4 linked regions of the Struthio camelus genome follow. The protein of the gene in region 1 purifies or fractionates together with the protein of each later gene. This does not show direct contact. Links are inferred from orthologs where the notes say so. Each region holds a gene or a part of one and is shown on either strand. Other genes may lie near its edges. The genes, in order: SMARCA5, CHRAC1, CECR2 and HMGXB4.

Region 1 (6,948 bases):
CAAAGAGAAGTTCTGAGTTATTTTTCAGTGATATAAAAAGGCCTGAGACTTCAACTGATTCTGTACATTAAGAAAGTAAGGTAGTAGCCAGTTAGGACAGACCCTTTTCTAGATGATCTTTCGATTTCCGACCAAGAGAGTGAATATTCAGCTCTTCATAATCCTCCTTACCCCCAGGAAGGACTTACTCTACAGACAACTCCAAAAGCGACAGCACAATTCCTATTATGTTTTTTTCCCCGAGGATGTCTGAATACTTCCCATTATCCCATTCTTCCTAAATCTAGAGCGCTGCAAAACTCCTAGGTCCACACTTACTAGAACCAACAAAACACATCACCAGTTATATCAACGTATCACTGCAACGGAAGTAGAGAAGCAACAGAAGAACAGAGAACAAAACACTAAAAAGGAAAAGAGATTTTCTATTTTAACTGTTTTGGTTTCAAATTACTTAAATGTTTTTTGAAAGACTAGACAAAGACCTATAAATCCAATTAACAGATTTCAAAAGAGCTGAACTCTATGTTTTAAGCAACTGCGTTAAGTGCTGGATAGATGTACGCATTCCCAAACGTTACATACCATTTTCTCTTCATATGTAGGATCTGCTTCTGGGATTTCTTTTTGTTTTCCTGGTGATGCATCATCGAAAGATTCCTGAGGGGAAAAAGAATTAGAAACAACTTATTTTCTAACAATGCTTACAAGATACTCACATAAAGGCGAATAAGCTCATTACAAATTGCTACCTATACACATCGGAGAGCACATCCACCTTCTGTTTCTTTGGTATAATCACGTTTCTATTATATGCTGTAAAATTAACTAGGCCATGCATCAGTGATCCCTACCGCAGAAGGGGGGACAGAGCTAGCTCTCTATAATCCAACTCAGCCCCATCATTGTAGCATCACATGAATGGAAACAAGAGAGCCAGCTGTGGTCCAGGAGCTCAGCAGGCCACTTCCAGGGTGCTGAGACAAAGCCCTCCTGAAGCTGCCTCTAGAAAGTACTGTGAAAGAACTAGCTCTGCTCCTGAAGCAACAGCAGTTTCAAGTTTCTTTCCAGATTACCCCAATCCTACATCACTCTGTACCCGGTGAACAACTCTACACAAAGAGTTTGAATTACAGTTTTGTCCTGGAAGCAGGGCAGCATGTTAAAGAAGCTGTACTTTCTTCCCTCTCTTGTTTACTAAATCAAGTAACTGTTGTTACCACCAACAGTATTACTGTTACCACCAACAGTATTACTGATAGCAGAAAAACAAGTTTTAGGGTTTGTTTTTTGGCAGTCCTTCCTCATCCCCTTTCCTGCCCACTCTGTAGCACAGCACCTTCAACTACCCATTCGGGTCAGGATTTTTTTTTGTCCTTCTCTCCTCTTTTTTTTTTTTTTTTTTTAAAGTTAACTCTTTCTCCATCATCTCCCACGTTTAATTTCACCTTCTCCTGTTCTTAGCAGCAAAAACAATGGGACAACCTCACCACTCAACCACGGCAAGACAGTGCTTTACAAAATACTTCTTGAAAGGGTGAAAAGAGGAAACGAATGAGATGCCCACCAAATTATTATTAGACATCTGTTTATTTGAGCAAACTGACAATTCAGCTAAATGCAACCTTTGCTAGCTGATCAGAACAAGCAAACAACTTGAAACAAAGGGAAGCAAAACATGGGCTGCTCATGGAGGGGTGTCACCTCCGGAAACTCTAGCAGGTAAGGCATGTGAAAACACAAGAACCTCCACACAAACGTCTCGTGTGCCAGTCAAAAGATAAAGAACTCAACGTAAAAAATTATGGCTAAAGATCTTCCAGAAATTTTCTCACTCATCTCCCGACGCGTTTATCTAATACTCGTCTTACACTGAGCACAAGAAGGACCGAACTGTTTGAACTCCTCTACAAAATTCATGTTTCTCCTGAAACACCAAACACTTGAAATACTGTAAAAACACATGAATAGCAGTAACAAGCCATCTGAACTCTTCATGTGCTATAAAGACAACAAAAACTTCCAATTTAGCTGAACAGTGAGAAAAACAACCTCTTAGCTGATTAGGGCTACCAAGAAGCCATTTAAACTGAAACTTCAGTTTATGCACGGCAACCCCTTCCTCAGGTAAAAGGGGGATTAACTCTGCAAATACAGGAAGAACCCTCACACGAAAGCATCAAAAGCGTGCATTTCACAGCTTCCACGCACGAAGCCTAGCCTGAAATTGCCTTATTTTTACAGGTTCAAGCAGGACTTTTTACCCATAGTGCTTTAGTTCCTTGCTCATCTGAACCAAAAAAAAAAAAAAAAAGCATTAGCAAACTGCTTTAAATGAGGTAGGTTGGACTGTACAGCATGACTCAGAGTACAAAACACCCAGCACTAAGAGCTGGACCAACCAGTTTCCTCACATCGTTAAAGGAACAATGCTGCGATAAAATTAGCATCTCCAGGCGATCACACTCAAAACCCCTTGAAATTTCTGGAATAACCACCTGCCGCCAAAAAAAAAAAAAGCAGAGAAACAAATGAGTAAAGCTATTTACTTATTCCAAGCAAACCCCCGCCCCGCGCACGCAAAGTCCGGAGCTACGGCCGAGCGCGGAAAACACCGGTGCTTTTTCAGGGCAGTAACGGGCTCGCTCCTCCCGGCGCGGCAGCGCAGGGCCGAGGAGGCAGAGCAGCACAAGGGCTGCTCGCCGGGGGGCCGCAGGCCGCCCGGGGAGGTCGCCCCGCCGCCCACCGCGCTTCCCGAAGCGAGTAACGGCCGCGCCGCCGCCCCATTGTCCGCCGCCGCCGCCGCCGGCCTCGTGGCGGGCACCTGCCGCCCCCCCCACCCCTCCCCGCGTCGCCGGGGTCCCCCCGCCGGCCGAAAGCGCCTGACCTCCATCTCGGCGTCGGCCCCGGCCGCCGGAGCTGCCGCCGCGGCCTCGCTGCTGTTGGCGCCCGCCGGGGGCGGCGGCAGCGGCGGCGGCGGGGCGGGTGGCTCGCCCGGTGGCGGCGGCGGCCCCTGCTGCTGCTGCTGCTGCTGCCCGGCGGACATGATCCCGCCCGCAGACAAAGCTCCGCCGGGAGCTGCGCACGAGGGAGGCGGGCGGCGGCGCGGCCGCCTGAGGCCGGCGCGGGGCGCGCGGGGGGGGGGGGGCGGCGGGGGCGCGCGCGGGGCCCGGTGCGCGGCGGCGGCCGAGGCCCGTCAGCGCTGCCGCCGGCTCGCTCGGCGGGCGCCCACCAACCAGGAACCGAGCCGGCTCCCCGCTCTCGCGAGAGCCGCGCCGCCAGCGTGGGGCGCGCGGCGGAGGAGGAGCGACGCGCGCGTGCGCGCTCCGCGAGCGCCGGCTTCCCTCTCCCCCCCGCCACCACCACCCCGGGCGCGCTGCTGATTGGGTGATTAGATGGCGGGTGGGTGGGGCGGGCGCCCTGTGGCGTCACTGCCGCCTTGTTCTCCTCCGTGGGCGGAAGGGGGGGGGGTGAGGAAGGTCCCCGCGCGGCCTGACGTCATGAGCCGGTAACGGGCGGGCGGGCGGTTGGTTGTTCGCCCCCGGCCCGGCACGGGGTAGCGCTGCCGGAGCGGTGTCCGCCGCCCTGGTACCCCGGTACCGGAGGGCGGGAAGGCAGCTCTAAACTTTCTCATGACTAGTCCACGATACATTTCCCACCGGAAACGAAACCTACAGCGTCCCCAAACCGTTCAACCTCCCACCGCGCCCCCAGCGTTGCCGCAGGGGACAAGGCGGGAGCCAGGGCCGCGCTCGGAAAAGGGAGTAAAAGGGAGCTGAGGAGAGAAGAGAGAGCGAGCTGCGTGTGCTCCTGGGCTCTCCCCAGCGCCCGGGCTGAGGAGCACCACAGCCGCCCTGCTGCGCTGCTGCTGCTGCTGCTGCTTTTACCCGTGGTGGCTTGTAATTAAAAGAAATCAATAAAAATCGTGATGTTACTTCCAAAGCGCTTGGAAATTGTATTAGAGATCATACATCCTCCTGCTGCGTTGCTGGAGTTACAGCCTAGCTTCTCCTCTCTACGGCTTGGGGCACGTTGCAAGAAGGCCGTTGGCTGTTGCTTGAATTAACGTTGGCAAACACCACCTACCCTCGGCGAGGTCGTGAAGGCTCCTTAAAATATAACAGTATCACCATGACATGTTCCAAAAGAAAATGCAAGCAAGACGCCAGTGCTCCGAAAGAGCAGGTCTCACATCAAACGGTGCTCTTTTCAGGTCCGTCACACTGACCCCCTCCTGCGGGAGATGTTCTGTTTCAAGTAAAAAGACATGAATATTCACAGAAGCGGGTGCTAGAGCAAACACCACTGCACTAAAGTCACCTTCCCTCTTTTTCTGGCTCCTTGAACCAGACAAAGCTTGTAGCATCTTTCCTGAGACCCAACGTACTGTCTGCTCCCGTCTTGGAGCCACCCCAAGCTACAGCACCCTGCTTCAGACCGGGACTCCCTAGGGGCATCTACGCTCGCATTCAGTTCAGAAGAGGAGCGCCCCTTTGAAGCAAATCCCATCGTGCCCACCTCTTACCGTGCCATGAACCACTGACCCGAGTTCACATCTCGGAAGCAGCCTGGAGTGCACAAAATGGGAATATTTGGGGATGAAGCAGAACAGGAAGATGAGTTTCCACAGCACCCCTATTGCATTCCCACTGCTAACAGAGGCTGAGGCCAAAGGACCAGACTAGAGCTGGTCTAAAGCAAAAGTTCCCCAAACCGCATACAGTGGGAACACTGGGTGCCCCACATCAACGATTTGCTCTACAAATCTGCTCCTGTCAATCAGTTGCATTTGCAGATATGTCTGCATTAACAACCTAAAAGGAGGTGCTCTCTGCTATGATTATTGTAACATTTCACTGGATTTTATTACCAACATCCTTTGAAATTTTTGGAATTAAAATAGTTTGCTCTCGCATTTCTGAAACATTGTGTCATTTCATTTCTGCCAAAACTACTCAGAATAATGAATTTCAGTTTTCCTAGAACAGAAATTTTCAGCTAATAAAAATGTTACTGACATGTTTCCCCACTGCTTGTTGTCATCCCTCATGACAGGTGAAAAACCCAGTTCCTTTGCCTAAGGCTCTTCTCTGCTTTCAGAGACACAGCGTTTCTTCTTGCATCTCCACCCATACCTTAAGTTTTAAATATATGCAGTACCACATTATAGTAAGTATTCATTTAGTCCCCTGTAGTATGTCAGCATAAAGTTATCCTAGGCTTATGTCCAGTTTTAATCTGCCCAGCCTCAGCTTCTGCCCTCTCGCCTCCTCTGCAGTTGCTTCTGATGATGCAGTACGATCTGCATGGTGTGGCCAGTAGGTAAGGGTGGGAAGCAAGCTATACTCCACCTTCCCCGTTTAGCACTTATTCCTCTCCCCCGCAAAGCACGCAAACAAAACTACAGGTGGAGAATCACTGATGGACTTTACATTCGAAAGAAAAGTGGCATAAAAGGCTGAGGAAGGGGTCAGGCATTCAAGGGGAGTTGTTCCACCACCTTCAACACCTTCTTTTTATAATCAGGCTAAAACTTCCAGGTAAGATCATACTGTTCAGGTGGAGAACATGAGAGAGAAAGCTTAGCAAGACGAAAAGAGAAAATACCACCTCCATCCAGAGGTCATCAACCCTTGGTCAGGGAGGAGCGCTGAGATACTCATGTGCCCAGTATCAGTATCATGAAAGATGAAAATGGTGTTTGTCTCCAGCCAAAAATTGCTTCTCTTCCCTTCCTGGTTACTGTTTTAGCTTTTTCATTTCCCCGACTTCTGAGAAGCTCTGCCTTTGCTATCATCAAGAGAGAATAATTTTTGTTCAAATTTTAAAGAAGTTAACTTGAAAGAGAGTACCAATCCCAAATATTTCAGTCACAAAAGGTAAAAAAAATTGTCACAAAAATATTCCGAGCCAAAACCTGAGTTCCATAATAGAAACACGAAACCTTAATGATTGTTGTCTCTACATCAGAGCTTGGGGGGAAGGAGGGGGAAATCAGTCTTGCAGCTGCATACAACCTGCAACACTGTAGTAGTATTTTTGGATAACCTTAATGAGTTATCCCCGAATGAGATACCAAGTACTTTTTACAGACCCAAAGGCTTCTAAATAGACCATTCACTTCTCAACAAAATTCCCAACTCTAGCTCTATTCCATCCATAATTTCATTATTAAATGTTACTTACTTGAAGTTACAGTGGACCCTATACCACTGCAAGAGTGCAGTCTCACAAGGAGTGAACTCTTCAATCAGAGATTTTAATCGGAAGCTGTTTATCTCCAAGTGAACAGAACCATGCTGTAAAACAGCAGAAAGCTATCAAAATCTCTGCCACACTCAAAGGAAAAGGCTCAACTAGAGGTGAAAACGAAGAAAACCATTAGACTTACAAGTATGGAGGGTAGGCATAATTAAAAAAAAAAAAAAACTCTTGTCAAAAGTAGAAAGGAAGACTAAAAGTTCCAAAGTTTTAAAAGTAGGATGGAAAAACTGATCAAGAAGAAAAGAAGAGGAAGACTTCCAAATTAACAGGAAGATGATACTCAGGAATGCATAAAACCCTAAGAGTCTGAACACGCAGCCTGACTACAAAGACCTTAATTTAAAAGCAGCTAGTAGCGCAAAGCAGCTCCTGACAGAGGTTACTAATCTGCTAAACACCAAGGTACGGACAAACGCACAGTAACACATACAAATCCTCCCCCAGCCAGTACGGAAATCTGAATTGTAAAGACAACTAATTATTAACATGCTTATGAAGTTAGTAAAGAACAGTTTAATTACAGATTTTTGTCAAATCTCTAAGGTGACACGCCTTTTGTTGCTTGCTTGTGTAACCATAACTTTTTCTACTAATATACTTTAGATGACTTCCGGTTAAATAACAAATTGAATTAAAACACCGCAAATAAGAGCTACTCTAAAAGACACTATTAGCTGTACAGCA
Region 2 (8,034 bases), on another chromosome or scaffold:
TAGCTCACTGTGGGAATCAATTGTGACTGAAAAATTCAGCCTGATAAGGACTGTAGATTGAAACGGTAACTTCAATAGCATTAACACTTATTTGAAGATTATGGACAAGCAATTGCTTGGTGTGAACTGGTGTGAATTGATTTAACAGTAATTCAGGGATAATACAGATGAAACTACAAATGGAGCCATTCTGTTTCAGAAAGAATACAAAGGTAGGAAGCTGCACACCCCTTTCGGGAGGGAAGATAGCCATAGTCAAGCTTAGCCAAATTTAGGATGGAGAGGGTAGAGGGTGACAGTTTTAAATAAACAAAGTAATCATTTTTTGTTCACATACTTTTGCCAGGAACGTGACTGGGAGCATTTCTCACAGGAACATGATTGCTACATTTATTTCTACAATAACGATGCAGGTACTTCACTTTGTACTTTGTTGTGGTATCAGCGATACCAAAGCACCTTAAAGGTTTGGGCTCAGCTGAACAGAGCCAATGCTGATCGTTACTCATGAATCTACTCTGTACCCTTGGTTGGAGAGGGGTTCAGACACGCTTTTGACGTAGTTCATCTCAGCAGTCTGTTGTTGTTTCACACTTTTTTCTTGCAAGACAAAAAGGTGATGGTGATAAATGGCTTGCAGAAAGGCAGAGTTACGATTAATGTAAATTGGAGCATCTAATATTTTAGCATCTCTAGGAAATTATTTAGATTGAGGCTGTGTAAACACAGTGATCTAGAGCTTTGACACTGCTGTTAAGCTACTCAGTCTCCTGATACCCTCCAGGTTGTGGGTATATAATGTCCTGCATAATCCCAGGTGGTGGAGCGAGTCTGAAGAGAAGTTACCTAAATGGGCATCTATCAAAATCGGAAATGGAAGATCAGACTTGGCATTTTTTGCCTGAAAACCTGGCTCCCATTCAAACATTTCTGAAGCTGAAAATCTTCATCCTTTCAGCTTTTCTAACGGAGGAACTCCTACACTGAGAGTCTTACCTGAAACTTCAAAATGGTTAGGCATATTAGTGACCACTGTCAATTCAATCATTTTCTATTTGCATTTGTGCATTAACATCTACTTTACCAACGGCTCAGATTTATCTCCAAGTATGATACAGCCTTATACATCCCCACTCAATAACACGTCATCAAATGCCTTCAGAATCACTTTTTTTTTTCCTCGTGCAAGACAACGCTTCTGCTTCATCATAAACTTCGTTATAAACTGTTCTCATTATTTGTGAATGCTACTTCCGTATCGCTGTGCTTCAGATGCCAAGAACACTACTGCAGCATAGTTAATGTCTTTTGTGATGGTATGCATTTCATGATAAACAGCTTTTTATTTTAATATATCTTTACATTTACTGTAGCATGTGCCAATTGCTTATCCAGATACTGCGTTTATGCTTTGCCAGATTGACTTCTGCTTCCTCCCTTGTTCGCTGACTCACACACATTTTTTCACTGGTCCAGCACTTTCCTACTGTTCTTCACAACATAATGGTCAATGTCAATAGTCTTTTTTCTGATTACAGATCATAAATAATTTACTCTCTAATTACTCTCAATGCTCTTAAATGTGCATGGGCTGGTTTTAAAATGCCACTTTGCAACATAATGGTCAATTTTTTTAGCTATGCTCCACTTTTGTGTAAAGAAAATGTATTCGTGAACTTCTTTGGCTTTGCCAAGCAATGTGAATGTGCAGTCTTCATCACAGTCTCTCTGGAATAACTGGAAGAGCTTCAGTGCAGCTAGAATTGCTTCATGCTCTTTCTATAATATATTTGCTCTTTATCCGATAATACTCTAACTTATCTCAGTGACGTTTGGAAATTCTGCAGACACCTTCTCCAGATTCCCTTCCATGGGGAATTGTGATACATCATGTTTATCATGATTTTTCTTTTAATACCATACAATAAAGGAATGATACAGGAAAGCATTTTTCAAAGATACAGCACTCTTTTCTAGTTTCAGGCAGCTCACTAGTACATATGAATGAGTTCTGTCCCTGTTTGAGCAGGCCAACTATTCACTGAGAGGAAGCTTTACTACCACAATAGCTCTACTTCCACTCAGTATAGGACAGGAGAAGTCAAATTGGTAAATTAGGGAGTCAAATCAGTAATTTTCTTCAGTTAGGTTCTGTTTCAGATTCAGCCCATGAATTTGTTACAGTTTTGTTCTGGTTCAGAACACTAATAGTTCATACCAGTAACCTGGGATTTATATGCACTGCGTCACAGATAATGAATTAAAATAGCCATGCTACAGGGTGAGACCGCAGCAAGGAAAATTACCCCAGCCTCCTTTTCTGCCAAAGCTTGCACAATACCTATACTGTTAACACAGTGCTGCAGCATCTCTCCAGTTCCCTAAAAAGGAAACCGAGGTTGAGAAGCTCGACAGAAACTGTGGCATTGCACTGCGCAGGAAGGAAATGAGAGAGAGGGATGAGCACAACGTGTCTAATCTCTTCTCTTTTCCTGGGAAATACGTCCATACACAACCCAGAGATACATATTTAGAGTGAAACAAGTGAGATCGCTGCAGGGAAGCTCAGGTAGGCAGGTGGCAGTGACAAGGAACAATTCCTTACTATGGGACAAGAATTGTAGCTCTGGTCACTCCATTGTGTTTCCAGACACAGCGTAGTTATACCTCACCTGAGGTGCCAAAGTACCTCCACTGAGCAGGTTCTTATTCAAGGCCGCAAAGCACAGCAAAAAGGAGGACTAGTGACCCAAGCAGGAGTAGAAAAGGAGAGACTGATGTGACAGTGCTCTGCAGTTTGTAATTGGTACAAATAGTCTCTATGCTGAAGAGATTTCCACTGGGGCATATTAGTTTTCAGTGAAACTTGTTCGAATTCATCACAAAAGATACTTATTTCAGCTGGGTTCCAAGTCAGGTTTAAAGAATAATTCCTAGTAACAGTGCCAGTTCAGTCCTGATTCAAAAGAACTAACTCTAGTTTGAACTCTACAGATCTGTGGGTGGTTTTTTTTTTTTTTTTTTTAATTAGGAACAGGTTCAGTCAGTTACTGGTACCACAGTAATGCTGCCATTTCAAAACGTACTAAAAAAATAATTATTAAGTGCCAGTAACGTTGCAGTATAATGGTATCCTCAGAGCGTGTACACATCCACTTTGTGTCATGCATTGTGCTTCTGCCTCCTGCGAACCAAATCTGCATTAGCAGTGGGAAGGGAGAGATGCCAGAAGTTTGCTGTGCTCCCACTCCCGTCCTCTGTCAGTCGAACGCCCTCCTCTTCCCAGCACCGTGCTGAATGACAGAGCTGTCCCATGGGCCCTGACTCTGGGAGCAGTGGGTGGGTGAAGGGAAAAGCCTGAGAGTGGGACAGGAGCCAGACAAAAACGAGCACGTCCCGATTTGCCCAGACCACTTTACGCTACATTGTCCACCACTGAGTAAAAGGACCACTGACAGGTGCCTAGCTCCTATAGGATCTACATGGCTCCTAAACCCATATCCAGATGGCTCAACACCATCAGAAATTTTGGTAGTTTCATGGGTAACTTCATATACTGAAATCATGAAAGATACCAGCAGAATTCACTGTCATGGCAATGTCAACTGTTTCCACAAGATGTCACAAGTAGATAAGGATCAAAGAAACTGAGCCTGCAAAATAGCATCATACTATGTTATGCTTCGCTTTAGCTGTAACTGCCACAGAATAGCATCAACAAAGTTGTAACCTCAAGGGATCTTTGCAGTCTAAGAGATTTAGATTGTCTTTAAAGACTAATAGGAAAAGACGTCTCCAAATATTGTAGTGCTGGAACTGTCACATCACCCTTGCACTCAGGTATCGACATGTGCTGAAGATGTTATTTTTCATTAATAACCCAACATCACCTGTATGAAAACCTTGTCCTTATGTACTGGGCAAAACCTGCATCAGCTGATTATATCCTGCTAACAAATTCCCTGCATTTTCAATTTAATACAATTCTCTTTACTGACACTTCCCTTTCTGCCCCAAACTCGACACGTACTATTTCTGCACGCCGTGGAAAAGCCTCTACGCGTCTATTAAGCGGCGATCAAATAAGTGACCTTAGCAGACTTCTTACCAACACACGCAATCAGGCACACTGCTCGTAAAGCGCACTGAAAACTTTTGAATAAAGACACTAAGGAAACGCAAACAGCGCGTTATCCTTTCCGCGAGCGCCGAGTTGCTCGCGGAGAGGCAGAGTACGGCAGGTCTCATCCTCACAGGCACGCGCGAACTTTCCGGTCCAGCCTTATCAGCAGCAAAACCCTCCCTGCCTTCGGTGGGCCTGAGCGGACGCCAGCCGCTGGGAAGCGGGATACGAGTCACCCGAGCAGAGACGCACCGCGGTACGCTCCTGCACAGGCCGAACGTGTTAATAACAAAGACACTGCCCTATTATCACTTAATACCTTCCACGGGCCCTCCGCATCTAAATACCTCCCACGAGCGTCACAGCCCTCCCTCTGACTGTCCCTACAGCAGCTGAGGCGGTATTTAGCCACCTGCGATTACAGATCCGTGAATAATTTGGTAGCCAGTGGCCTGTAATTAGGGTAGACAGAGGCGGGGCTGCTCCCGAAGCTCAAGCGCCCGCCTGGGGCTACGACCCGCGCGGAGGGGCCGCGGGAGGGAGCAGGGCACCAGCCGGCGCCGAGAGAAGCCCCCTCCCGGGCCCGGGGAAGGGGAACCCCGACGGCGGGGCCGGGCCGAGCTCTGAGGAACCAACGGCGCCGCCGCCGCCGCCGCCGCCATCGCCTCAGGGCCCGCGGTGCATCACGGGAAGAACGCTCCTCCCGCGGGAGGCGCGGTGCACGGCGGGACTTGTAGTCCTTCCCCCTCCTCTCCTCGGCGGGCGGAGCGGTGCCTCATGGGATTTGTAGTCCAAGCCTCGCTGCTTAGCCGCGGGGCGCGGCGTTCCCTCTAGTGGCCGAAGACTACAGTTCCCAGCAGGCTGTGCTGCAGAGGCCGCCTATTCCCCCCCCCCCCCAAATCCCCGCCCGCCCGCGGCCGGGTTTGGAGGGCCGGCGCCGGTCGGAGGCCAGGCGGGGTTGGGGGTGGGGGAGGAGGAGGAGGAGGGGAAGATGGCGGCGCGGTTGAGCGGCGGCGAGAACCGGCTGGTGTCGCTGCCCCTTTCGCGCATCCGCGTGATCATGAAGAGCTCGCCGGAGGTTTCCAGCATCAACCAAGACGCTCTTTTCCTCACCGCCAAGGCCACGGTACCGGTCGCCCCTTTCACCTCCCCTCCCGGGCCGGGCCCGGTTGTGAGGGGGGGGGGCCGGGCCCAACGGCGCCGCCGCCGCCGCCGCAGCAGCTCTCGCTGCCTCCCTCCGGCCCTTTCCTACCCGCGCAAGCGGGAGGTGAAGCCTCGCCCTCCTGGCTGCTTGTCGTGTGGGGGGTTTGGGCGCCGTCCGCTGCGGCCGAGCCGCCAGGGCCCGCGGGAGCCAGCGTTTCCACCGCGCTCAGGAAACGAGCCCGTGTGGAGGCCGCCTCCTGCCGCTTTCCCCTCCCGCCTGCGGCTTGCTGGGCTGCGGGAGGCCCTGGCGAGCAGCGCGAGTGAAGTTCCCTCAGCTACATCCTGACCTTGAGCCTTTCTGAAATCCGTGGGACTCTGCGCAGGGCGTCCCACAATACGTACGGTTGAGCAAAGGGCGTTAAGTGGGGATTAACGACAACTGCTACCAACTCTATGTATTAATTCACTGCTTGACTGTTGACTTCGTTTTGATTTTTAGGAGCTTTTTGTACAGTATTTGGCTACCTACTCCTACAAGCATGGCAGAGGCAAGGAGAAGAGCGCTCTAACTTACAGTGACCTGTCTCACACCGCGGAAGAGTGTGAAACCTTTCAGTTCCTTGCAGGTATCTGTAGAGTAATAGTGAATCCAGGATGTAGTTTGGAAAATGAAACGGTGCTGTCACAGAAGCGTTCTGTGAGGACACGATTCTCCTACTGGTTGTTAGTGTCCTGTACAGCATTCGACTGTACCTCATGAACTACATCACTGAAAACACTTCTTTGCAAAAGAATGGGTATTTTTCCAGTGCTGGGAAACTACACAAGGCCTGTTAGTCCTCTGTGTATTGCTCTATCCGTTTCTTAGATGCAAACAACGCAATCTGAAAGCTTTCAAGCCTATAAAATGAGATCACTTTAGGTCTTTCTGTGTCAACTTCTGTTATCCCAGAAACTACAGATGTAAATCTACAAATCTTAATTCTCAAAGAGAGTCATTCTCTGGTTCCACTCCCCCTTTTTAGTGTGTAAGTATATGTGTGCACGCACATATACATTTTTTGCTGGTACTGAGATTTTTGTTTTAACACTTAGCTCAGAACAGATATGGGAAAAGGATATGGGTTGAGGATGAGATGTACCTAGCCCAGTTTTTCTCCGAGCACCTTATGGGCATGCTTTCAGAGCATGCAGTCCTGTTTTGTCACAGGTCCATCATTATTGCCCTGAACAATACCTTCCTTGAGTACAGAAAAACAATTTCCACAGAACATAAATGGGATGGCTATCCAGTTAAATGAGCACTCATTTTTATTTGATGTAAAAGTAAAATGAAGTGATTAGGTAGTAAAGAGAGTGGTCTGTAATCAGTTTTATAACATATATTCCTCATCTTTGATTACTTGTACCTTAAGTGGGCAATTCCCTCCTTTTCTCACAGCTTGTTCATAAGCCAGAGTGAATAATCTGGTTAGTCGCTAAAAGTATAATAACTTTTCAAAATTGCCTCTGTTGGACTTTGTTTCAGTAATGATATGGATGCAACAGTATTTATGAGATAATTTAAGTATTCAAACTTTCTATAGAAGAAGCAATTCTACCTTTCAGATATCTTACCAAAGAAGATCCTCGCTAGCAAATACCTAAAAATGCTTGAAAAAGAGAAGCGAGATGGAGAAGTGAGGGAAAATGACGAAGAGGATGAGGAGGAAGATGATGATGAAGAAGAAAGTGTTGAAGATGTTGGATCTTAAGGCTAATGGAGAATTACTTCATAGTTAATCAATTTTCTGTTGTATAAAGGATGCTATTTTTGTGACTGAAAATCCATATGCTGGATATATTTATACACTGAGCCATCTGCTTTTGCTTTAAGAAGTTTAGAAATTGAACTTTATCCCTGCTGAAGAATGGAATTCTTCTCTCAGACGCATGATGGGGAAAGAAGAGTTGTTGTAAATCTGACAGCAGAACTTGCTCAGACGATTTAAAATGACTTCTTCAGACAATCGTTATCCAAATTTAAAACGTCTTATGGGCAATGCAGCTTTCAGTCCAAAGGCTCTTTCTCCCTCCAACCAGGAGTCCTCCACCACTTTCTCTTTCCTCAGAGAGGAAAATGAGGGGAGGAGAGACTTCTTACGCAATGTCCTCTGCCTCCCTAAGTAGACAATAACTGATCAAACCTTCCCCCAGTTCTCTGGAAACGTGCCAGGGCATTAGCAGTGGACCAAGCCCATCTAAAACAAAACAAAACCCCCCAAAAACCGCTTCTGTAATGCAGCTTAAATAGCCACGTCTGCACAGAAATGAGCTAGAGGTTCAGATCCATTCCGATAGCTGATGTGGCTCTGCGGCCAGCAGTAAAAAGTAGATGTGTTAGATAATGATGTAAATATGTATATCTAGAATCTTTTTTTCTAGTGAAGTCTCTACTTCTGCAATTTGTCTGTGGTTTCCTACCAAAATGGACATTGTTTTAAGTTTATTGAATGTGGATTGTTGAGTGGCAAGAGAATTAGCAACTGTTTTACCATTTGAGCGGTAGAGCTGGATTTTTTCTTTTTTTTTTTTTAAACTACAGAAATGGTGACAGTCCTGTGTAGAACTTTGTATGCAACTTTTTAAGGAAAATAAATGTTTTATATGAAAAGTGACAGTTAATGCAGAGGCTTTCTACAGTTCTTTCCAGCTTCAGTCACGTCCCTGGTTAACGTATGAGCCTAGTATGCTTGCTGTTCATCTTTCCAGAAAGGAAAGGGGGGGGG
Region 3 (7,744 bases), on another chromosome or scaffold:
AGCATTCCTCCCTTCCTTTTACTTCCAGATGAAAGATTTTGTCCTACAGGAAAGGGGACTTTCAGTCCCTATGTCACCTATGAACTTTTTTGTTTGTTTTTTGGCACTTGGAATTTGGCATTTTTCTTAAAGGAACAGCAGCACAGAAACCCAGTGTCAATGCTGAGCAGCAAAAACGTGAAGCTTTGATTTGCTCCATCAGCCCCAGAGTTCTTTCACAGTGCGGCTCTACACGGTATACGCATTCAATTGATGGCCCGTTTGAGGGGAAAGGAAGAAGGAGAACATGGGGATAGGGAGGAACGTATATGGAGGGAGGGGAACAGCCGGGGTGGATATTGAACAGAAAAATCAGTAGGTAGGTAAAGTCTAACCAATAGCCTAGATAAGTATTGATCAAGAGGACTACAGCACACCAGGAAAGAAGCCTGGTCACAACAGGCTTTGGTTTTGTTTGGTTATGAGCAGGAAACTCAAAACCAAAGGTGGCATGGAGGGGAAAAACCACACAGGATTTGAGAATGGAGATATTTATCACAGAGGAAATGCTGGATTGCATTCATCAGGCCTTTGCTCTCTGTTCAGCAGCAGAGGGAGAGCAGAGATTTCTGTGTTTGAATAATAAATCTAAGGAAGTGATTTAAGAACAGTGTAAGAATCTGGCAAAGTGAATCTACCTTAAATAATCATGGGCGGCTCTCAGCTTCCTTGCATAAAAAGATAACAATATAAGAGAAGACACAATTGGACAGAAAGAACGGGGACGATAGAGGGAGCCAAATTAATTCAAAAAATCTTAGGGGAAATTAGGATTGTAGCTTTTCTGACAAAAAAGAGAGATTAGGAGACTTTGTTAAGATTCACAAAATTCTTAATGGGATAGAAAGTGGGGATACTACAAAGCTATTTGACCTAGTGTCAAGAACAAGCTAAGATGCAGCAATAAGATAAGCCATAGCTGGACACTACAGGAATTCAGGGAGGAATGTCAAGACAGAGCAAGACATAAATGCAACATAAACTCCCCTTACATAGCAACAGGACAAAAAGATTGCTCAGTGGAAGAACCAGCATTATTTGAAAGGCAAGTAATACTGCAGTTAACTGTCCCACAGAAATCTGTGTCTGAGGGTTTGTGACCCAAAGATTTCTCACGCAGAGCTATTGGTATTTTATACTGGTCTGAACTGTGTGTTGTTAAAGTATTTCATGTTGGGCTGCAAACTCCTCTTTAGCGATTACCATATCTTAGCTGAAGCTGGTTTAATCCAGTGCAGGCAGATACAATACACAAGAGATCAGACACTTCTTTGCTCAGTACCAAGGCTCAGAGTCACTGCATCTGGAAATAGAGTCATGATTTCAGTACAACATATTGGTTTCACGTAAATAATAAGTCGTCAAAGGCAAAAGGTTTTTTTTAAAGTAGTTTTGGGGAAAACAGACACAAATACTGTACGTAGAAAGGTAAATTATAAACTGGCTTGACGGCGTGTGTTTCAGGAGACGTTCTCTGTTGTGGGTGTGGAATTTACAGCAAATGAGAAGGGGGTTGGACCCTGAGGAGTGCCTGATGCTGCTCCATGCACCACTGATGCCCATATCACTATTTATCCTCATCGCCCCTCCATTGCTAAAGCAACCTTTGCAGCCCCTACCCACAGAAGAGCAGAGCAATTGCCATACCAGATCAGACCAGTAGCCCTTCCAGTCCAGTATGCTCACTTTGACAGTTGCTGCTGTCTGATACTTCGAAGAAAGGTGCGAGAAACCCTGTAGTGGACAGTTATAGACTAACCTGGCCACGAGGGAAGTTTCTCCCTAATCCCTCACCATCAGTTAGTGGTTATGCTGTGCCTTGAAGCCTGACAGTTTATATCCCTCCTAAAATTTATTTATATCCTGTCTAATGTGACCATGAATGTTCTTAGTCTCCATATAAACGTCTAATCCTTTTCTGAATCCTGCTAATCTCCCAGCCTCAATGAAACCTTATGGTAACAAATACTGTGTGTTAATTGTACACAGTACAAGTATTTCCTTGCACCATTTTAAACTTGATTCCTTCCAATTTCATTGGGTATCCCTTGATCCTGCAATATGAAAAAGGGCAATGAACTCAGAGATTGTTTATTCTTGCTGACAGCCCAACTGCTGCATCTTTGTTTCTTCTCTAAATGAAGTGTTCCTACCCTTGGCCAAAGTTTTCATGGTAAGGCTGGTACAGCGTGGTCAGCTGTACACGTGGTCACACGTGTACAGCTGGTACAGCACAGCTCTCATACCTTCTTCTTATTCTCTATTGTCAACTTCCATTTAGAAAAGAAACAGGGAGAGGAAACTAAAAAATATCAAAAATAGATGCTTGAGACTGTTTGAAATCACATTTCTGAGAGCCATGGGCTGCTCTATGTCAGCTGGTATTAACTCAGCAGCAACAATGCCATTGCCAGCTGATGCTACCAGCCTTTCCCTCGCTTATGCCTTCAAACCAGAGACAGACCAGGATATTTGCAATGTGATTTCCCCTTCGCCTGATCCAGTCTGTCTTCAGGCTACTCCTGAAAGGGGAGGTTGTACTCTCCCTTCCGTCCCTTCTCAGGCGTTTCACTGCTTCTTTGCATCAGTGCTGGTGACCACATGGCGGGGGGATTAATCAAGTCACTTCTGCTGATCCGAGAGAAAACTAATTCTTTGTCACCATCATTAAAAAAAAAAAAAAAAGGCAGCCTTCTGTCAGATCAGTGAGCCACATCACCCAGCAGCCGGACGATTGCTAACTCTGACACAAGGGACAGGGCAGGGATATTGTCAGAAGGCGTAAAAATGATGCTCCTTTTGGGGGCAGCCTAAGCCGGATTGGGGGTAACGGAAACCATGCCCTAAGGCGTTCAGCCGAGCCTGCTGGGGGACTCCAAGTGTTGGGGCAGAGCACACCTCTGCCACGTTTCCAGCATTCATTGAGAACACATTTGGGGATATCAAACAGGCAAGATTTGAAGGCATTATCAATGCTACACTGCCTCAGGCTTCAGCCTGGGCTGTAGGTATCTCAGGTGTGCCTTCCTGCACGGACCCCAGCACGTCTGCGAGCAACAGCCTGTCAGCCTCTGCCAGACAGAAAGAGGAGAGGCTGAAGATGAGAAAGTTAACAGAGTAAAGGAAAGGAAGGGCTAGGAAAAGTAGTGCTGGTATAAAAACGTCCCCAGCCAGATGAAGGTAGAAAGGAGAGGAAGGAAGGAGAGGAAGGAGTCCTAAACTGTAGTTAAACATGTCTTTGCAAGCGTTTCACTGGAGGTAAGATCCTAAGCTGGCACAGCTGTGCACAGTAATACTTTGCAACTGGTTTGAAGCTGGACTGTAGAGGCAAACTGAGCAGCTGTAACGTAACACAGGGTCAGCATACAAAGCTGTTACCAGCGTAGTATTTCATTACATCTCTATACCTTGTTATAGTCCGTCCTGCAAGAAGGTAATACCTAATTCTTGCTGAATGCTTTTCTCTTAACAGATTTCCAAACGGGGCACTGTTACTCTCTTCACTGCAGGGCCAGGAGAAATGGAGGTACTGGGCACCCGGGTGAGACGTTAAAGCACCTCAAGAGAGAGGGGCTCCCCACTCCTTCTGCCGCAGCAACGCAGGGAGAACGAGAAGTGCCACTTGGCCTCCCTCACTTACAAATATAAAGCGAGAACAGAAAATCTGGAGGCCCGGCCAGGACATGGCAGGCTGGGGGACACTGGCCGCTGCTCAGCTGGGCCGCTGCAGGGCAGGTGCCCCCGGGCCGCCTGGGGAGCCGAGGCCTTGCCCTGGGCTGCTCGACGGCCCGCAGGGAGGCCGGGCGGGCGGCGGCGGTTGAGGTGGCGGTTGAGGCGGCCGTTGAGGCGACCGTTGAGGCGGGAGGTCGGGGAGGGCTGAGGCGGGGCGGGGAGCGGCCCCAGTGGCAGCCGTGTCGGCGGCAGTAACGGACGGGGCTCCCCTGCGGCGGGGGAAGGAAGCCAGCCGGGCCTGAGGAAGGGCTGCGAGGTGTCTCCGAGGGGCTCAGCCCCGAGAGGCGCCCCGCTCCCTCGCCTCACGCCGGCCGCGGAGCGCACGGCCGCCCCCGCCCCTCGCCTCGCCCCACGCCCCGCCCCCCCGGTAGGCGTGGCCCGGGCGGGCGCCGGGGGGGCCTGTTGTTGTGATGAGCGCCAGCTCCACCCCCTCCTCGTGCACGGCCGCGCGGCTCCCCCCTTCCCACCTCGGCCCCGCCCCTTCCCCTCGCGGCCCCGCCCCACCGGCGTCCTTCCCACCTCCCTATTGGCCCGCCCGCCTGAGGCTACCCCCCCCACCAACCCAAAGGCCACGCCCCCTCCCCCCCCCCCCCCGGCGCCCCATCTGCTGCTGCCGGCGGCGCGGCGGCCGCGGTGCATGGCGAGGGCCGCGGCGCGGGGAGGCGGAGGCGGGCGGGCCGGCGCGGCGGCGGCCGCCGCCCGCCCGCAGCAGGGGCAGCAGCAGCAGCAGCAGCGGCAGCAGCAGCAGCGCCCCCGCCGGCCCTAGCGCCCCCCGCGCCAGCGCGGAGCGGCCCCGCGCGCGGGCGGGCGGGCGGGCGGCAGCGAGGGGGCAGCGCGGGGCCGCCGGGGGGCGGCCGCGGGGCGGCGTGGCGCCGGGGGGCGGGCGGAGCGCGGCGGCGGCGGCGCGCAGCCGCCCGCGGAGTGAGGCAGCGAGCGGGCGGGCAGAGCCGGCGGCCGCGGGAGATGTGCCCGGAGGAGGACGGCGGCTGCGGCGGCGGCGGCGGCGGCGGCGCGGCCGGCTCCGAGGCGGCGGCGGCGGCGGCGCTGGACGAGCTGCGCTCCTGGTGGGAAGTCCCGGCCATCGCGCACTTCTGCTCGCTCTTCCGCACCGCCTTCCGCCTGCCCGACTTCGAGATCGAGGTGAGACCCCCCCCTCCCACCTCCGCCTCTCCCCCCCCCCTCCTCCGCCTCCTTCCCCTCCCCGGTGTCCCCTCGGCCGGCGGCGACTCCGGCGCCTCCGCCGGGCGCGCTCGCAAAACTTTCGGTGCCGCCGTCCCGGAGCAGCGGCGGCAGGCAGGACCCTCCCCCCCCCCCCCCCCCCGAAACGGGGCGCACGACCGGGGCAGCGGGCGCGGCGGCGGGGCCGCATTGTCCGTGCACACACGCAGACACAAAGCGGGGGGGGGGGGAGGTCCGCGGGTCCCCGCGCCCCCTCCAACCTCGCCTAAAATGGTGGCGACGAGAGGCGGGGCGGCGCCCCCCCTGCCCTGCTCCGGTGCCCCCCCAGCGGGCACCGCCGCGGCCGGTCGTGGCGGCCCGGTTCCCACCTGGCCGCGGCGGCCGGAGGTGCCGCCTTCCTGCAGCCCGGCCGGCGCGTCCCGCGGGCGCGGGTTAATCCGCCGGGGAGGGCTGCGCTCATTGTGCGCCGCGCAGGGAAGGGGGGGACCGGAGGGGAGGGGGGACGGGGCTCTGTGCAGGGCAGACGGGAAATTTCAGCCCAGCTGCGGTGCCTCGAACACCTTATCTGTCCGCCCGCGGAGAGACGACTCGCTGGTTTTGTGCTTTTTCCAAAATTTCCTTGTGCAACTTTCCCGTGCTGCCTTTTTTTTTTTTTTTCCCCCCTCCCTTCCCTTGCGTGTGGCTAATGTTCTGTAAATATTTTGCGCTCTGGCTACAAATGTTGCAAACAAAGTGTGTCGGGGTAGGAAATCTTTTGTGCTTGCGGTGAAAAGCTATTCTTGCCAGCACATTGGCAATAAACCGGGTGAATAACATGGTGGCGTGCGTTTTTTAAAGACAGTAATTGCCCCGGGAACGCGAATTGCATCGATGCTGGAAAGTTCAATAGGATGTGCGAAGCCCTAAAGAGCACAACGCCTTGAGCAGGATGCGAATTTCTGAAGCGGGGGAATCCCTTATGCAGTGCGAAATCTTGAAAGGGGGTAAGGTCTCTCAATGATGCAACTTCTTGCGAAAGGGAACTCCCCTCCCCCTCCTATTGAGGCAAAACCATTAAAGGGGGAGGCTCTCCGGCCGCCAGCGCAAAGTCTTGGAGGAACCTGAATTTACAATGATAAAAGGGCCAAGGCGCTAGCCTTTCACCTTTGGAGGCAATTAGCATCTGGCTTGCTTCACAAATGAAGTAAATGTGGGCTCCCCTTTGGTTCCTAGAGCACGCTTAGGGTGGGGGAGTTAACATCACTGGGAACAAATTAACTGCTTTTGGGGGTCGCAGGGGGAGAGGAGATGCGTGCGCACGGGCTGGGGCTGAGAGCGATATGAAGCACGACTAGCCCACCGAAAACGTCGCCAGCAACGTCTGCGCGTGGGGATGGCCTGCTGCGTTTTGCGGAGACTGGTTTTAAAGGGTGACGCCTTGTACGAGTGCCAGTGGACATCACAGTTAAAATCTGCGTGCTGCAAGGGGACAGATGCAGCTGTGATAGCTTTGCGTCTTCGGGCGTGCAGAGTGCATCTCCTTCCCTTTCCCTGTGTGATATCAGCAGTCTAGTGCAGGCTGCTTTAAAATTTGCTCTTCCTTGAAGTTCACCGTCTTGTTACCTCTTCCCTGGTGTAGTTGTTCCCCTCTCATCAATGGTTTCAGGGATATCTGGGAATGGTGTGTTGCACAAAGAGCGTACACTGTTTATGGAACAAAACCATAAAGGGACTTAGTAAGTAATACTTTTTTTTTTTAAGGGTGTTGCTTTATGTGATTCTTGATTTGTATGTTAGTCAGCTGCATAAAGAAGGCTTCTCCCTTGGTTTCTCACTTAGGAAAGCCTGTGTCCCTTCTGGCCATCTCACAGGATAGTCTGGTGCATCCGAGAGAGGCTTTGAGTTTCAGGGGCTTCTGCACGGAACAGAGATGGCCGTCTTTCTAGGCGTTTAAGGAACGCCAGCCCCCAAGGCAATATTTGGGGGGGGGGGGGGGAATAGCTAGCCACCAAAAATGAAACTATGCGATCATCTACAGATGAAATTTTCTTACTCTGGCTTTGGTTATCGCAGGAGGTACACTTGTGGCTGAGGGCAAGTGGTTTGAGAAGTTACAGTCCCCTCGGTCAAAAGTTACTGTCCCTCATCTGGGATGCGGTAATTGAGGGGGTGACTGCCCCAGTCCATCGGAACCTGTTTTCCGATGTATTCAAATAGAAATGGAAAGCTCACGCGGGTCACTTCAGAGTGTTTCAGCTGAAATGCTCTGATGTTCAAAGTGCTTTGTAGCAAATGTTTGTCCACCTGCGCACCCCATGTCCCTCCAGGCCGGCCTTGCTTGGGATGCAGTCGGATGCTCCTGGAGGATATTCCCCTGATGGGGAGGGCCCAGGTTGGTTCTCAAGTAAGAACCTGGTTGGTGCCTTTTTATGCTAATATAAGTGTATCTCCAGTGAAGAGTTTGCTTAACTCTTACAACATTGTTACGATGGTGAAAGTCTTAAGCTAACCCTATAGTTGTGCATGTAACAAATACCCCTTGCTTTTTCAGTTGCTCAGACCTTACTGCACTGCGGGATTGGAGTTTCACTGCTGTGGTCACTGCAGTTCCCAAACTGGACAAAATCTCATCTTTTAATACGCTTTTTCTTTTTTTTAAAAAAAATAGAACTATTATTTCTTGTTTTGTTTTTTATTCCCCTCACCAATTTGTTTTCTTCTGGTAGCTCTGCCCGTATTTAGTCAGAAGGTGCTATAGTGATAGGCCATCTGGACCTGTCCTGCCCTGACTGAGCAGATCTGCTGGTAATACTTG
Region 4 (7,562 bases), on another chromosome or scaffold:
ATGCATTGGCTGGTGAAGAACTCTCCCGCTCAGGGGCTTGAGAGGAAGAGAGAAGTTTACCCACAGGCAATCATAGATCCTAGAGCAATCCCTCTAACCAAAGCGTGGAGAGCCCACCAGAGAGCCACAGCTCCACAATGTGGACACTCATAGGCAGGCCTGGCAAGGCCACATCAACTTTGCAATAAGTATACACCCACCTATGCTGCCAGGCTGACATTTTAGCTTCCAGGTTAGCGGTTTAACTCTAGCTTTTTGTGTGGTTGCTCCATTTCTTGTAAAACTCCAGATTATAATATTATCTGGTACTCAGTGCAGGACAAATGCTGAAGCAGTGGTTCTGTCACAAGCAGGAGTTGGGGAAAATTGTAGGAAAGAAGCCCAGACCTATGGGCTTTTTCATGTAACTCTTTCTCAAAAGAGAGGAGCAGGTCAGTACGGCCTGTACAGAGGAAGGCGGTGATGTAGAGAATTAAGGTGTGAGAGGAGGAAAGAAGTAAATCACCATATCCAGGCAAAAAGAAAAACAAGAATCCAGATAAGGCTGAATGCCTCAAGTTTCATGGCACTGGGGCTGCAAGGAGTTCTAGTCAGCAGAGGCCAGTCAGAACCCCAGGGAGCAGGCACCGAGAGCTGACCAGCAAAAAGCACTAACATAGGCTTTGTATGGCACCATGAAACTCAGATTAAACCACTCCTACCTTCCTGGCATGTGCTGAGGTATGAAGCTATTTAGGAGGAAATCAACCTCAGTGAAAAGAGGTAAATCTGACACTGATTCTCTGCCTTTAATCTTTCCTTCATACATACCGCCCAGGTATCCCTCCCTTTCCTTTGGCTAACCAAACGCAGGAGCTTTCCTCTTCCCCTCTGGACTCCACTAATCCTGCTGTATTGTTTTCCCACCAGATGGACAAGGACACTGTCCTCCCACCCAGCTTTACCTCTCTCCGCATGCGGATACAGAAGGTGCAGCACTAGGAACAGGGAGAGAATGCGTGTGTCCACTGTGACAGAAGCTGTGGCTCTGGGGAACGTTCAAACTGTTACACTCATGTTACAAATGAATGCACCTACGCTTGCGGCTTCATTAGTGACTCTATTCCCAAATGAAAAGGCAAGAAAATGAATGCTTCCTGCAGGAACTGAAGACAAATGGGAAGCAACTTAAGAAAATCCCCAATACGGAAACAGATAACAAATCTTTTGAAGTTTTGCTTCTCTGCGGAAGTGAGTCCTTATATTCAAACAGGACTCAGTAGCCTTGTTTATAAATAAGACTAGTGAAATTATAGGGCCGAGGTAACTGACTGGGTGATTGGGTGACTGGGTGACTGGGTGACTGAGCACTGGAACGTTTTGCCCAGAGAGGTTGTGGAGTCTCCTTCCCTGGAGATATTCAAAAGCCATCTGGACACAATGCTGGGCAACGTGCTCTAGGTTGAGCAGGGGGGTTGGACTAGATGATCTCCAGAGGTCCCTTCTAACCTCGGTCATCCTGTGATTCTGTGAATTGGTACCCAATATCTACTCTACCTGAAGTCCGCTGTAACGTTAAAGTCACTTCCTCCATATTCATTCCCATAAGCCTTTTAAAAATGTGTTTTTTTCTTTTAGAACCTACCAAAATGTAATATGCTATGCTGTCTTTTAAGGGCAGCTTGGTAGCTGATAACTTACAAGTGTTGTAGTGTACACAGAGAAGAGTAGCACTGTCTGTGCAAAACAAAGAAGGCTTTTGGTGGAGAGGCAGGGATCAGAGGATTTAATGTAGGTCCCATTCCAGTTAATGCCAAATTCTCTGTGAATGTAGGAAAAAAGTATGGAAAAGTGAGTCAGAAATGAAGAGAGATTTCCGAGTTGCAAACTGTGGCAGGGAGAACTGGTAATTGTTCTCAGAGCTCTGAGTTCTGTATTTAATTTTGTACCTAACTTGGCTGTGGGCTTGTGCTCATGGTTATTATCAATTATTTTTATACTCATTTCACTTGAGAACTCACCAGGCTAAGTACTAAACAAGTGTGAAAAAAAAAAGAGAGTTACTGAACCTAGAAATTTGCATCTTAAGTAGTGTAGATAGGAGAAAATATGCAGACAAGGACAGATAGGGATGTATATAGGAATAGCAAGACCATATTGGTCACCTTAATGGGCAGTAGCCCTTAGCACGCAATTAATCTTGCATCAAAGATAAGTATGTCCACCTCACAAAATGTTCTGCACGGGCAACAGCCTTTCATATAATGGGTTTGTCTTTGCCAATGAGACAAAGGAACTGAAGGAACATACTGCATATTCTTTTAGCAGCCTCTCTCTCTGGCATGTAGGGCCAAGAATGCAAGATGTTCTGAACAAAAGGAATAGGCAATATTCTCACAATAGCGTGAGATTAACTGATGCTGCACTTCAGGTCTTTGACACTATGGGGACTGCTTGCTTTTCCTGTTCCCTCAGGATGACCTTTCCAGTTCAACAGTACACAGAAACAGTTCTGTCAGGTGTTAGACATTTGGAGAGGTTGTGACTCTCTTAAATTTGCTATGTGTCCTGACATTTTCTCCACCTGACCTCTACAGTCCAGGTGTATATTCTAAAGGGATGCCTGGATTTTCTAGAAAAGGAAAAGGCTAAGTTGTTTGAAAGTAGCCAGTAAATGCCAGTGCTTTGTACTGGATCTCTTTATTAGCTCTAGGGAATAGGAATGACTGAAATGAGTTTTTCTGAGCCCTTCTGCACTGGTGAAAAGTGCAGAATGAGGGATTACATTATATTATTAGTAGTATGATTAGTGTTATTAGTATTATTAGTATTCTGTGGGAGGAGAGGAACATGGATGCATCTCAGCAGGAGAGATCTGAATGCTTCGTGCTTCAGTGGCTTTATGTACAAGTATCCTGCTATATGCTCATTTTCACAAATTCACCTGCAAATTCACTCTCTCCCCTCCACATGCAATCACTGACACAATCTAATACCTCTGAAACATCCAGTGCTAAAACCATTAAACTGCAGGGGAGCTGAAATTCTTTCTAGGATGCAGAATATTAAGCATACCATCCCCACATATTTACTAGCTACCATTATCAAACATTTGCAATCTTCAGACATGAGGCTAATGTAGGCTTTTGATTTTCATATCGATCGTATCTCTGTTCCTTCAGGCTGCACCTAGCCTCCCCCAGCCATGCTAAAACTTTATTTCCTCCCAACTGTTTCTACCTGACCTGTAGGCTGTCATGCTCACTTGCTCAAGGAAATTATTCGATGTTTCCATACAGTCTGTAGCACCAGCAAGGAAGCTCAAGACTGTAAAATTCTGTTGACAGAAGCCATGTTTTTCTTGTACTCAGTGCATTGTAGAACAGAGTAGGGACCTATCACTGGAATTTCTAAAAACATCATCAGTAATCTGTGACAAATAGCAGGTCTTGGGCAATGTGCTCAATTCTGGAAAGGTTCTGGATATATATTTGTGGAGAGATGCTTGTCCCATTAGTGAAGACCGTAACTCCTTCCTGTGTTATGGGTTGGAAAGTAAGGACAGATTTTATAGAGAGCATAAACAGCAGCGGGAATGAGTATATACATGCATGAGAACACCTGCACAGGCCTCGCACACGTCCTCATGGTTGGTGGGTTTTACTCTGAGGTGTTACAGCTGCTGCACCTGCAGACATTGATCTGTGCACAGCGGCTGGGGAAATTTATTAGAAGCTGTAACCCCTCACTTGGAATCAAACTATAGATGCACACAGTGCAACACAGCGAGGCCATTCTGGTTCCTGTAACTGTTCCACAGTTAACTCAAATCATCATCATCGTTACACACTTGTTAGGACAAAAAAAAAACACGACCAAGACCAGGAGGCAGATCTGTCAGTGCAGGGAAACCAGTGTATCTGTGATGGGTCAAGTCTCTTTAACCTTGGCCATGGCTGGGAACTGTAGGCTGTGGACAGCACGCGACTGAGAGCAGCAGCTTACAAAGAGGCATGTGAGCTCCCGCCGGCATCTGTATAAAAAGAGGACTTCTCCATCAGTAGAGATAATGGGATTTAAGGTAAGAGTTAAGTGAGGTTTGTTGAATAGGGACCTCCTGAGCTAAGGAACAGAGTGAAGAAAAGCTCACATGGGGGGGGGGGAGGGGAGACTTGTTTTTTTTGTTTTTTTTTTTCCAGCCAGTCCGTTCTTGAGCTTTTTTTTTTAACCTCGGTCTGGAATCCCCTTGCAGTAACGGACGAGCCCTCCAGAAGGCGCGGGGGGCAGCACTCCGCAGACCCCCGAGACCGCTCGCCTACCGAGCGCTGCCCGCGGCAGGAGCCAACGCCGTCGGCGCAGGCAGAGACCGGACGCGCAGCGTGCGCCGCCCGGCGCGGGAATGCGCCCGCCCTCCGGCGCCTGCGCCATCGGTACGCTCGGCGCGCCCTTACCCCGCCTCCCTCTCCCTCTCCCCCTTCCCCTGCTTGCTCGGCGCTCGGCTGGCTGCGCCTTGCCGCCGGCGCCGGGCGGGGTGTGTCTTTTCTCCCACTCCAAGATGGCGGCCGACGGTTACGGCGGCGAGGCGGGAAGCGGCGGCGAGCGGTGAGGCGGCGGCGCCGCCTTTGCGCTCCGGAGCTGCGCCCGCCGCTTGGCGCCAGCGGGCTGGCAGCTCCCGTCTCCGCTCGGCGCCACCGCCGCGGGGGCACAGGCTTGGCCTGCTCCAGGAGCAGAGCTGCGAGCTGGAGTGAGGCCGGAGCCCGCTCGGGTGAGAGGGCACGCGGGCGGGGCGGGCGAGCGGGGGCGGGGGGGAGCAGCGGCCGAGGCCGGTTCAAACGGAGGCGGCGGGAAAGGCGCGAGCCGCGGCCGTTGCGGGAATTGGGGCGGGGGGGGAGGGGAGGGCGTTGGTGCGCATGCGCAGCCGGGCTCCGCGCGGGGGGCTGGCGGCGAGGGGCGGGCGCGCGCGCCCGGGTCTGTGGCCGCCCCGCAGGCAGGGGTCGGCGGGCCGGGCCCACCGGCCGCGCTGTGGCTGCGGCCGCCCAGGCGGCCTGCTTGGAGGGACAGCTGTGCCGCCCGTCGCCGCTCTGCGCCGGGGCGCTACCTGCCTGCGGGCGCCGCGCTCGTGGAAAGACGGGCGCCAACGTCTGCCCCCTTACACGCGCCCCGAAAGTCCTAGCGTGGTTTCCGCGCTAGCACGGCTGGCGCTGAGAGAGCACGGAACGTCTGCGGCAAGTTGGGAGCCCTGCTGCTGGCCTCTCTGCTTCCACGTACCGTCATCTGTCACCAGCGAGTTGTGCAGCCCCGCTTGGAGGGATGAAACATGAGAGTGCTATTGGGTTCGCACAAGAGCGATGTGTGTTCCTGATCCAGCAAGCGCTTGTGTTAAGGACCTGGAGACTTGGAGAGACCTGCCTCGCTGAGCCTGTGTGATGTCTTCTGTAACCTAAGAATCTAAAGCACTGGAACCTAATCAGATTGTGTAGAAGACAAGTTAAAAATGTGCTTTATATTTGCAGGGTTAGAGATCTAGGTTGTAAGCCCCTTTGGGCAGGGTTGTCATGTAGCAACCTTTATACCTGCCAGACAACTTAGTGAAGTTTTTAAAAGTCAGTAAAAGGTATGCCTGTAGCTCTAAACGAATCTTAGTTTCTTAGTGTCATCCCCTCATGAATGACCATCTTCTATTTTTGCTAACCAGCATCTAGATTAAGCCTTAGTCCTTTTGAGCACAGTGCTTTACTGTCGTGTGTAAGTTGCAAGATCTGGTCCAAGACTGTAAGCCCATCAAGTGGCAAGATTTTTTTTTTAATTTATTATTTTTTACTGTGGAGCACAGTGCTGTTGTGCGTATACATAAATTCTGCTTACAAATTGCTATGCTCACTAGCAACAATTTATCAAGCAACAATTTATGGTGGTCAGAATGCTGATATAAAAATACTGTGGTTGGTGATTTCCCAGAATATTAGACAACAGAAGAATTAACTTGTATCCTTATTAATTTCTCCTATGTGTCTGTAAGCTTGAATTATTTGGGGCTCTGTTCTTTCATGTAAAAAACCACAACATGTTAAATACATTGTATGTTTTTTAGCATCAGCCAGTTATTTATAAAACTTGTGTATGTGCAGGGATACCCAAAGCGTAGGTAAGATAAGTTCCCTGTACTCAAGGTATTCAGATGTAACTAATATGGTGAGATAACTGTATCAGCTAGTCCAAACTAGCTGTGTGGTCTCTGTGATTTAACACTTGCAGATGTATGTGTGCACATGCGCACACACACACGCACACACACACACACAAACACACACTTTTAAGTGCAAACTGAGTTATCAGAAGGCTATTCTTTGAAAGTTAAGCTGGTCACTGACTGAAGAACTCTGAGAGAACTAGAGTGCAACTATTCTATAATGGCAGTATCCTTCTAGATACTAGCAACTGCTGAGTAGAATACCTCAATTAGAAGAGACCTGGAACTTAATGAGCTGGCAGGGGCTAAGGGTGCAGCAAAAGTCCTAGAAAAAAGGAATACTTTCCTCTGCTCCCTCTCCCAAGCTGACATTCAGAATGGCTGCAGTGGTAGTGTCTGGAAATGCATCAGAAATGCACCAGAAAGATGTACATCTTCACTCCAAAATCTTCAAATATTTATTCAAATATTTATTTCAAAAGATCAGAAATAATTCTTTTATGATGCAATGATTCCTGCCTGAGTTCTTCCTTTCCTTCACTACTTCTGAGATTCAAGGGTTTGGAATTTCTCTTTAAACATCACACTGTTTCCTACACTGGCTCCTGACAAAAAAGATCTTGACACAAGTTCTGTTTCAATTTTTTGTCATTTAAAAGTCAAACAGCCTTTTTTCTCACACTCTTTATACTTTTGTAAATAAGTTCATTCAATGATGTGAATATTTTACAAGGAGGAGGTTGTGTTGTTACCTCTTTTAAAATAAGAGAAAAACAGCTTCCATTGTGTTTAGTTAATTTAAGAAAAATTTCTATCCAGCCTGAAATATGAGCACGCAGAGACCAGGAGGTAGATTCCCTTCCTTTCCCACTGTCTTCCAGAGAATCTTCATTTGGTTCATAGGAAGTTTCCCATATTCCATTATGATTCTTCTTTCTGGGAGGGTTATTTTCGTTCTCTGTTTCTCAGACCTTTTCCTGTAGACGGGAACGGGGGAAGGAGCCCAGACGTGGCAACACATTCTCAGGCTCCTGCAGGACCGCCATGGCTTATGATGACTCCAGGAAGAAAGAAGGTATGACTGCTTCGTAATCTCAGAGAGAGTTGCCAGAAAAGGGTACCCTTAGCCGCCCTTTCCAGGCCACGGAGTCAGAGAGTGGGAGAGAAAGCTAATCTCTTGTGGAACATTGAAGGGTATTACCTTAAATTTAATCTAGTCAGGTTTTTGCGAGATCCCAAGCCCTTGACTTCCAGAAGTAAAGTATTGGGATTAGAACTTGAGAGAAACAACTGATGTTTCCTGATGTGAAAACCTTGCCGAGGTACTCTGCCACTGCAGCCTTGTTTCTCCCTGTCAGCTCAATGGAACAGGAGACCAGGGATAGGGATTTAG

The links.
Region 2: the proteins of SMARCA5 (region 1) and CHRAC1 fractionate together in Homo sapiens (co-fractionation; 5 studies listed by BioGRID and IntAct, with this or other methods). This does not show direct contact. The link is inferred for Struthio camelus from reciprocal best matches to the Homo sapiens genes SMARCA5 and CHRAC1.
Region 3: the proteins of SMARCA5 (region 1) and CECR2 purify together in Homo sapiens (affinity purification with mass spectrometry; 3 studies listed by BioGRID and IntAct, with this or other methods). This does not show direct contact. The link is inferred for Struthio camelus from reciprocal best matches to the Homo sapiens genes SMARCA5 and CECR2.
Region 4: the proteins of SMARCA5 (region 1) and HMGXB4 purify together in Homo sapiens (affinity purification with mass spectrometry; 3 studies listed by BioGRID and IntAct, with this or other methods). This does not show direct contact. The link is inferred for Struthio camelus from reciprocal best matches to the Homo sapiens genes SMARCA5 and HMGXB4.

The regions. Positions count from the first base shown.
Region 1 is NC_090945.1:34,085,367-34,092,314, reverse strand, and holds the start of SMARCA5 (SWI/SNF-related matrix-associated actin-dependent regulator of chromatin subfamily A member 5), read right to left. Parts: upstream 3,070-6,948; 5' UTR 3,047-3,069; coding exon 2,888-3,046; intron 661-2,887; coding exon 586-660; intron 1-585. UniProt on the Homo sapiens protein: ATPase that possesses intrinsic ATP-dependent nucleosome-remodeling activity.
Region 2 is NC_090943.1:168,239,706-168,247,739, forward strand, and holds CHRAC1 (chromatin accessibility complex protein 1), read left to right. Parts: upstream 1-5,033; 5' UTR 5,034-5,114; coding exon 5,115-5,249; intron 5,250-5,765; coding exon 5,766-5,892; intron 5,893-6,874; coding exon 6,875-7,020; 3' UTR 7,021-7,930; downstream 7,931-8,034. UniProt on the Homo sapiens protein: Forms a complex with DNA polymerase epsilon subunit POLE3 and binds naked DNA, which is then incorporated into chromatin, aided by the nucleosome remodeling activity of ISWI/SNF2H and ACF1.
Region 3 is NC_090942.1:70,502,821-70,510,564, forward strand, and holds the start of CECR2 (chromatin remodeling regulator CECR2), read left to right. Parts: upstream 1-4,734; coding exon 4,735-4,911; intron 4,912-7,744. UniProt on the Homo sapiens protein: Regulatory subunit of the ATP-dependent CERF-1 and CERF-5 ISWI chromatin remodeling complexes, which form ordered nucleosome arrays on chromatin and facilitate access to DNA during DNA-templated processes such as DNA replication, transcription, and repair.
Region 4 is NC_090942.1:59,909,546-59,917,107, reverse strand, and holds the start of HMGXB4 (HMG domain-containing protein 4), read left to right. Parts: upstream 1-4,497; 5' UTR 4,498-4,744; intron 4,745-5,146; exon of another isoform or gene 5,147-7,138; 5' UTR 7,139-7,213; coding exon 7,214-7,244; intron 7,245-7,562. UniProt on the Homo sapiens protein: Negatively regulates Wnt/beta-catenin signaling during development.